Oryzias latipes: one gene and its partner. The protein of the gene in region 2 interacts with the protein of the main gene of each other region in a pairwise test. Links are inferred from orthologs where the notes say so. Each region holds a gene or a part of one and is shown on either strand. Other genes may lie near its edges.

Region 1 (3,655 bases), on a different chromosome or scaffold from region 2:
TAGTAACCATGGCGCTGGATTCATTTGGGGGTAGAAGAAAAATGTGCAGAGTTTGAGCTGTGAGTTATGCCAGTATAGGAGCCGAGTACTAAAACCACATCGGACTTTATTGTTCAGAGAAGTCATGCAGATTGAACATTGGCCGTCCATCAGCTGGATAACGCTGCTCAAACACACAAGAATGTAAAAGAACTATGGACTTCCATATCTGATTCTAGTTATTGTCGCATCAGATAAATTCTTGTTGCAGGATTATCTGTGGTAAAAGTCCCTTTGCAGCTGTGTCTTCTTGATCACAACCCAGGTTTTTTGCTGTTGTGTAATTGCAGCAATTTGTATAAAACTACGGGTACTTGGACAGTTCTGAAATCCTATGAAAATCAAAGTAAACTGAATACTATCTAGATCCCTTCTGGAATCAGGTGGTTCTCCAGTGTATACTATAACATCCCTTGTTACTTGGAGCGAGTAGATGGAAATATACTAAATAAACTGAATCCTACCCTGAATGTCAATATGAAAACTCCTTGTTGTATAACATCTTTTGAGCATGTGATTGCTCAACTTGACTTCTGCTATATATTACTTTTTTGGTTTTTGATGACCAATGTCTGTGTTTTGTTGCTATCTCAATGTTGCGTCACAATATTGGGTCGTAGTACAAAAAATAGATGCATGCATCTACTTTAACCAATGCTCTATACATCATAGACTCTGGCCTTCTAAGCCTCCTGATGGTAGCACACCAGCATGTATTCTAATCCTGGTGAGCCTGGTCAGATTACCATATGAGCAGTGAGCGATTTCTGGTTCTTATTGGATTGGGGTCTTGCCAGGGAGGGGGGGACAGCACTCAGGAGGAGGCCAGAGATTGCACAAGATTCTTTTGTCAGTTTATCGGATCCTTGCATGAGCTTATCCTAGTGTTAGTGATACACCCTAACCCTGATGTGTGAAGGCACGACACAGCGTTGCATAACATTTCATGTTACTTTAGCTCTGTCGTCATCCTCTTGGATTATTTTTACTAGTCTACAGTTGCACAATTTGAGTGAGCTGGTGGAAAAACAAACACTCAATAAAAACACAAGTTGATTTGTGATTCAAGTCTATTGGATTTTTAGTTTTTATTTATTATTCAGTTTGCCGCCTAAAGAGTGCAACACTGAGTCCAAGGCGTAGTAGAGGGAGTCAACATTTATTTATAGAGTGAAATTGAAGCCTGGAGGAGCAGCTTCAAAGATGCCAGCAAGTGGCTTTGCTCTTTTTTTAAAAACATGTGAACTATTCATCTGGGAGCTGACATCTGGGATACTTTTTGGTATCAGAATTTTTTTTAAAGGCACTTAATAATAAGAAGCTTTGTTATTTATTGTTGGTAACCTTGTGGCATTTGCATAGCCCTGAAGAGTAATTATAACTGACAGTGAAGGGGCAATTCTGTTTCTTTTCCTGACCTTTCAACATGAGCCTGTGTGGCACTTATGGGAGTCTGTTACCTGTTGTCTGTGTGACAGCAACAGCTGGACTTTACCTAATTAAGTAGTTATTATTTTTTAAAACAACCACAAAATTTGTCTAAAACTAATTGAAATGCGGTCAATTTTTAGTTTTCTGGATATATTTGTATTCATGTGAAGTTTTGTCTGAAGGGCACATTGCAGCCTTGAATCCAGGTGCAGATTTTATTTTATTTTTTTAAAACAATCTTTATTCATTATTGGGTGTTAATTCACAACACTCTAAAATATATTTAAAGTTACTGAGCATACATGTTTTTAACTTTGATAGTTGGTTTTAGTTATGACAGTATCTTTTGACTTTTCTTTTATGTTACCCAGGGGTTGTTAGATTATTGTTTATGTTTCAAAAAGTGTCCTAACTGATTTGTACTGACCTTATTTTGCGGTCTTATGGTGTGCACAGCTGTGACACAAAAATTAAAGCATTTTTAAACAATTTTTTTCTATGTGGAAAAAAAACGTCCTCCTTTCCACTCTAACCTTACTGTCTCTAACCTATGTTTATCTTTTCTGAAGTTTTTTTTTTTGTTGACCTTCTTGAATGATTTCTGAGTTCAGCATCTGACTCTAAGCCATCGGAAAATCAAATTACAACTCGGTCTTGAAGTTAAGCCGATCTTCTGTCCTTAAACCAACCCTTAGTCTTTTTTTTTTCTACTCATTAGGTTTGGCAAATTAAAATCAACCTAGAATTCAAAGAACACAATGACTTTTCAATAAATGAAATGCACTGCAACAGATGACATGGATGGCATTCAATGCCTATAGTTAGACTTTTATATTTATTAATATTTTTGTAGATTTTGCACGTCCCTCCATCCATTTTCCGAATCCCTTTTGGGGTCACGGGGATACTGGAGCCTATCCTAGCTGCAGTTGGGCGAAAGTGGGATACACCCTGGTTAAGGTCACATGTGGCAGGGCCACAATTTGCACAGCTGAGAGAAAATCATAAAAGTTGTTAAAAAAATTGTCTGTTGTGACTATGGCTTTCTTTGTTCTTGTTTTTGTTTTACAGGCCGGTGTGAAGGGGACTTTAGGTCGCTTAGTTGGAATATTTGAAGTAAGCCGCTGTCTGCTTATTGCGTTGTTTTTGTAGAGGTCTTCAAAATTTTAACTCACTCTCTGGTCATTTCTTCCTTTTAACAGAACCGGGAAAGAAAGCACAGAACCTACGTTTATGTTCTTATTGTAACGGAAGTGCTGGAAGACTGGGAGGACTCGGTTAACATCGGTAAGAACTTTAGTTATTTTCTGCCAAAATTTCAGTTATGCAAACATAGTTTCTTTCAGTCACATGCTAAATTTCATTATTTTAGTTTCTCCCATATCTAGGTGAAAGTGTTGTGAAGAGATTTTAATTTTTGGGGGGGGGGTGCAACGATTCCTTTTAACAATTTATTCATTTCATAATTTGTGGTTCACGATACGATTCATAGTGGATATGGGTTCATTTTGAACGATTCGATTTACTGACTTAAGATCGATCCAGGACATCTTTAGCCAAAAATTCAACCACTGTGTCTTAGAGATAAATACTTAACAGTGCAGCTGAAGTTTTCTAGAGCCCTTGAATGTCTCGCAAGATAATCAAGTGTAAATTAAATATGTGTACAAAACAAAAAAGTAAACAGGAATTAATGAAAAATCTGTTCACATTTTAGTTTCCTAAAGTTCAGCCCATTGTTGTTTTTCCACATCAAAATAAAACAGATGGAACAGTATTGGAACATTCTACCACTGTGTGTCACAGGTCAAAGTGGAGTGTGTGTTCTCTGCTGTGATGCGCTTGGTTTTTTTACGTCATAGTATAATAAACCTACCAGGCTTAAACCCAGATGGTATTTTTCAATATTAATTATAATACATTACATTTGGAAACAATGTTATAATAGTATAGGTTAATTTGATTAAGTCAATTGTTGCACCCCTAGTTTTTTCTCCTCCACATCTGCTTAGTATTAATCATAGTTGGCCCCACTTCCACTGAACACAGGGCTTTCTTGTTGTAGTCCCCCCCCACCCCCACCCCCACCCCCCCCTCCTCCTCTTGGTTGTGTTGACCTAACTCCTCAATGTCTCTCTTCTGTCAACAGGCAGAAAAAGGGAATGGTTTAAAATAAACGATGCCA
Region 2 (3,755 bases):
TGGCTATTTGTAAGAATTTCTCACACTGGTTCTCTCATTAGAACATGCAGGGGGGCCAAGTGTTTCGTCTCCCTTTGATGTGAGCAATGGGGTGAGGCAGGGGGGCATAATGTCTCTGGTCCCCTTCCATCTCCATGTTGATAAATTGACAAATGAACTGACTGCATGCAATATCGGATGTTTGATTGGAAGTTTTAAAGTAAATCATTTATGCAGATGATTTAGTGGTTTTCAGTCCCTGGAGCTTTGGTTTGCAACACCTTTTAAATGTCTGTTCCCTTTTATGGTTTTAAAAAGGATATTTAAATGCTAATACGAGTGGTCTGCTTATTGTTTGCACTAAGGTTGATGTGACATTGAATTCTCTGCTTTTAAATTGTGCAATAATGAGCTTGATGTCAGTCATAAAGTTAAATATCTTAGTCATGTTATTAATGACAATATTACTGATGACATTACTGACATCTGTAGACTATATGCTAAATGCTCAGATAAACACTAAGGCACGCAGGTTTTATTCATGATCATATTAAAATTCTTTGATTCAAATCTTACTGCGCTGCTTTGAACATGCCACACCTGTGGATTGACTACAGGGGGTATAGTGTGCAGAGGTTTTAAAGTTGCTCATAATGATGCCCTTCGGAATTTATTTAATAGACCACGGTGATAGTGATAGTGATAGTGAGTTGTTTACATTCTCCAGGCTCTATTAAGACATTTGATCTATGGTTTTATACATCTTAATGCCTCAGAGAATTAAATGATTTTACCCCTCACCAATGTAAAGTACAGCATTCTTAAATATCAGTCCCCAGTCTGGAGGTTCTGGTGTGGGTGCACTTAGTTTAAGTCTGTAATCTGTGTTTCACTTGGTTTTACTGTCTATTGTTCTCCGCATTTTTATCTGCTCTCTATTTCAGTGAATGTTGTTTTATGAATGTTGTTGCTTTTTTTTATGGTCTTGTCATTTTGACCTTGAGTCTGTGATAAATTACTCATTCATTCGATGAAGGAAACTTGACTCCATCAGATGTCATTCGCAGCATAAATTCAGAAATACTTTCTTAATCCCCAAAGGGAAATCAGAAACAGCAGTCACCTGAGCTCCAGCATCCAGCAGCAGCTTCACACACTGAGCTTCCCCCCGCAGGCAGGCCTCATGCAGCGGTGTGATGGAGTCCACAGCCACCACATTGACCGAGGCTCCCCCCTGGATGAGGTGCCGTAGCTGAGAGGTCTGGCCGAGCGCCGCCGCCTTGTGTAACTCTGTTCTCTCGGCCCAACAACCTGAAAAGTTAGAGGCTCTAAGTTAGAGGCTGCAGATTTTCTCATTTTTATAAAATTATAATACATGACAGTGTGGATTTACAACAGCTACGCAGCCTTTATTTATCATGACTTTGACTGTAACTTCAGTTCTTATACCATACTGATGCATTAGAGGTGCTAAATATCCTCCTCATCCTCTCCCTCCCTCCCTCTCGCTCATTGTGCAGAAAGAATTAAACATAACAGGGTAAAATAACTCGGCAAAACACAGTAAAACAATTACAACTAAATATATTTAGACAAAAATCTACACTTGTACCCAAATCCGTCCAGACAGGCAAAGGCAATGATATCCCACAATTCCTTGCGCTGCCGATCTAGCAGCACCAAAGTTACACCTACTCAATTGAATTAATTTGAATGAAAGGAAAATAAATTTCTGATAACTGTGTTATTTTTAAGTTGACTGAACTAAAAAAAATTATTTATCTTAACTGAAGAAAATAATTAAGATAGATAAATGTAAAAAAGTTTATCTTCATGCATATGCGCGTTTACATCATAGTTTACGGTACACACGCCCAGCGAGCTGGAAAGACGGCATAAAGCGCTAATATCACCCATGTCACTGTTACCCATTATCAAATAACATGTACTGTACTCTGAAATAAATTAGTTATTGCAAGCCCCATATTGTTATTTGATGTACAAATGTATTCATTTAGATTGTATGTCTGTTCATGTCTGATTGATTATATTTCAGACAAAACATGTTATTTCTGGTAGTTTATTATGGAATGAACAGACATGCAATCTCAATGAATACATTTGTACATTAAATAACAATATGGGGCTTGCAATAACTAATTTATTTCAGAGTACAGTACATGTTATTTGACAATGGGTAACAGTGTGGGTGATATTAGCGCTTTATACCGTCTTTCCAGCTCGCTGGGCGTGTGTGCCGTAAACTATGATGTAAACGCGCATGCAAAAAGTCAGTGACGGCTAGCGATACCGCACTTCCACAGATGTCGGCTCACTTGACCGCGGTTCATAAAGCGGCCTTTCAGCCTCTAACAGACGCGTGACAGAATCTCACTGCAAACAGCTAAACCTCCAGAGAGCCAAACCAGATCCTGGTCTTAGATCACAGCGGAACTCCAGCTTCATTACAGCTACTGATCAGATCACGGATATGATACTAGTTTGATAGGAAATGTCGCATTCATCTCCTCAATTTGATTTCTGCAAACTTGTTTCTTACACAGCATTAGCCTGCTTGTTTTTAGCACATTAGCTCGCCGCGTGCCGAGCATGCTGACGTCAACCGCTCTCATGATCATACAGCGACACAGTAAGAGCTGTTTGGAGCGCGTCACCCACCGATATCTCCAAAGTAATACGGCTGACGGCTTGCCACCTCCATCCTCCAACACGACCCCAGCAACAGATGTTTGTAAACAGTGTCCGCTGCGCACACGTGCTGCTGTATCACGTGACAGTCCTGCAATCATAATGGGCATGCTGGGTAATGTAGTTAAGTAAACGGGCTTATCAAGAAAGATTTAGGAAGACTATAGCATTTTCTTGCCATTGACTTTGACCAGACTGATGGCATTGTAAAAATGACACAACAAGAGGATGTGAAAAAGATACTGAGAAGGTCTGACATGCAGGATTGTAAAACCTAGATCAACCCCTAAGTGAACAGAAGCTGATTTATACAAATGTTGCAGAAAAGATGACTGATGCCAGAAAATACAGAGACATTAGGAGCCTTATTTATCTTGCAACATGTCCACGGCCTGACTTGAGTTTTGTAGTAAGTAAATTGTCTCACTATTTTAATGAACCAACAGAAGAACACTGGACTGCTGTAAGACATGTACTGAAATCAAAATGGAACTTCGTTACAGGAGATGGGATTGGGACAGGGATTACATGCATATAGTGATGCAGACTGGGCAACAGACACAAGTGACAGACGCAGCGCAACTTGTTACTGAGTCAGTCTAAACGAGAATGGTCCGACCTACATTCGCTGTATCCACTTGTGAAGCTGAGAATATGGCATTAGCTGCCACTGTTCAGGAATGTATGTACCTGGTACAACTGCTACAGGGCATGGATGGGTACCACCCTACCCAAAGTCTATAAACACAACCAAGGGGCTATAAAGTTAGCAAAGAATCCTATAAGCATACAAAGATGTAAACATGTTGACATCAATTACCATTTTGTAACGTTAACTGTAAATGATGGGAAAATCTTTTTGGAATATTGTCCAACTGACCAGATGGTGGCAGATGTAAGGACAAAGCCTGTAACAAAACTTAAGTTGCATAAGTTTTTGAAGTTTATGTTTGGAGTCATCTTTTCATACTCATGTATGATAAGTTGAGAGAAGATGTAACTATAGTTAAGTTTGTATAGAAATATGACAACGTCAGAACAAACATATTGTTTGCTCTCAGTTGTAA

Evidence for each region. The genes of interacting proteins can lie anywhere in the genome.
Region 1: the proteins of ankyrin repeat and SOCS box protein 13 (region 2) and nudt3 interact in a two-hybrid assay, tested with the Homo sapiens proteins (2 studies listed by BioGRID and IntAct). The link is inferred for Oryzias latipes from reciprocal best matches to the Homo sapiens genes ASB13 and NUDT3.

What each region holds. Positions count from the first base shown.
Region 1 is NC_019863.2:14,581,100-14,584,754, forward strand, and holds part of nudt3 (diphosphoinositol polyphosphate phosphohydrolase 1), read left to right. Parts: intron 1-2,541; coding exon 2,542-2,586; intron 2,587-2,672; coding exon 2,673-2,757; intron 2,758-3,619; coding exon 3,620-3,655. UniProt on the Homo sapiens protein: Cleaves a beta-phosphate from the diphosphate groups in PP-InsP5 (diphosphoinositol pentakisphosphate) and [PP]2-InsP4 (bisdiphosphoinositol tetrakisphosphate), suggesting that it may play a role in signal transduction.
Region 2 is NC_019881.2:9,233,800-9,237,554, forward strand, and holds the start of ankyrin repeat and SOCS box protein 13, read right to left. Parts: upstream 2,702-3,755; coding exon 2,659-2,701; intron 1,291-2,658; coding exon 1,103-1,290; intron 1-1,102. UniProt on the Homo sapiens protein: May be a substrate-recognition component of a SCF-like ECS (Elongin-Cullin-SOCS-box protein) E3 ubiquitin-protein ligase complex which mediates the ubiquitination and subsequent proteasomal degradation of target proteins.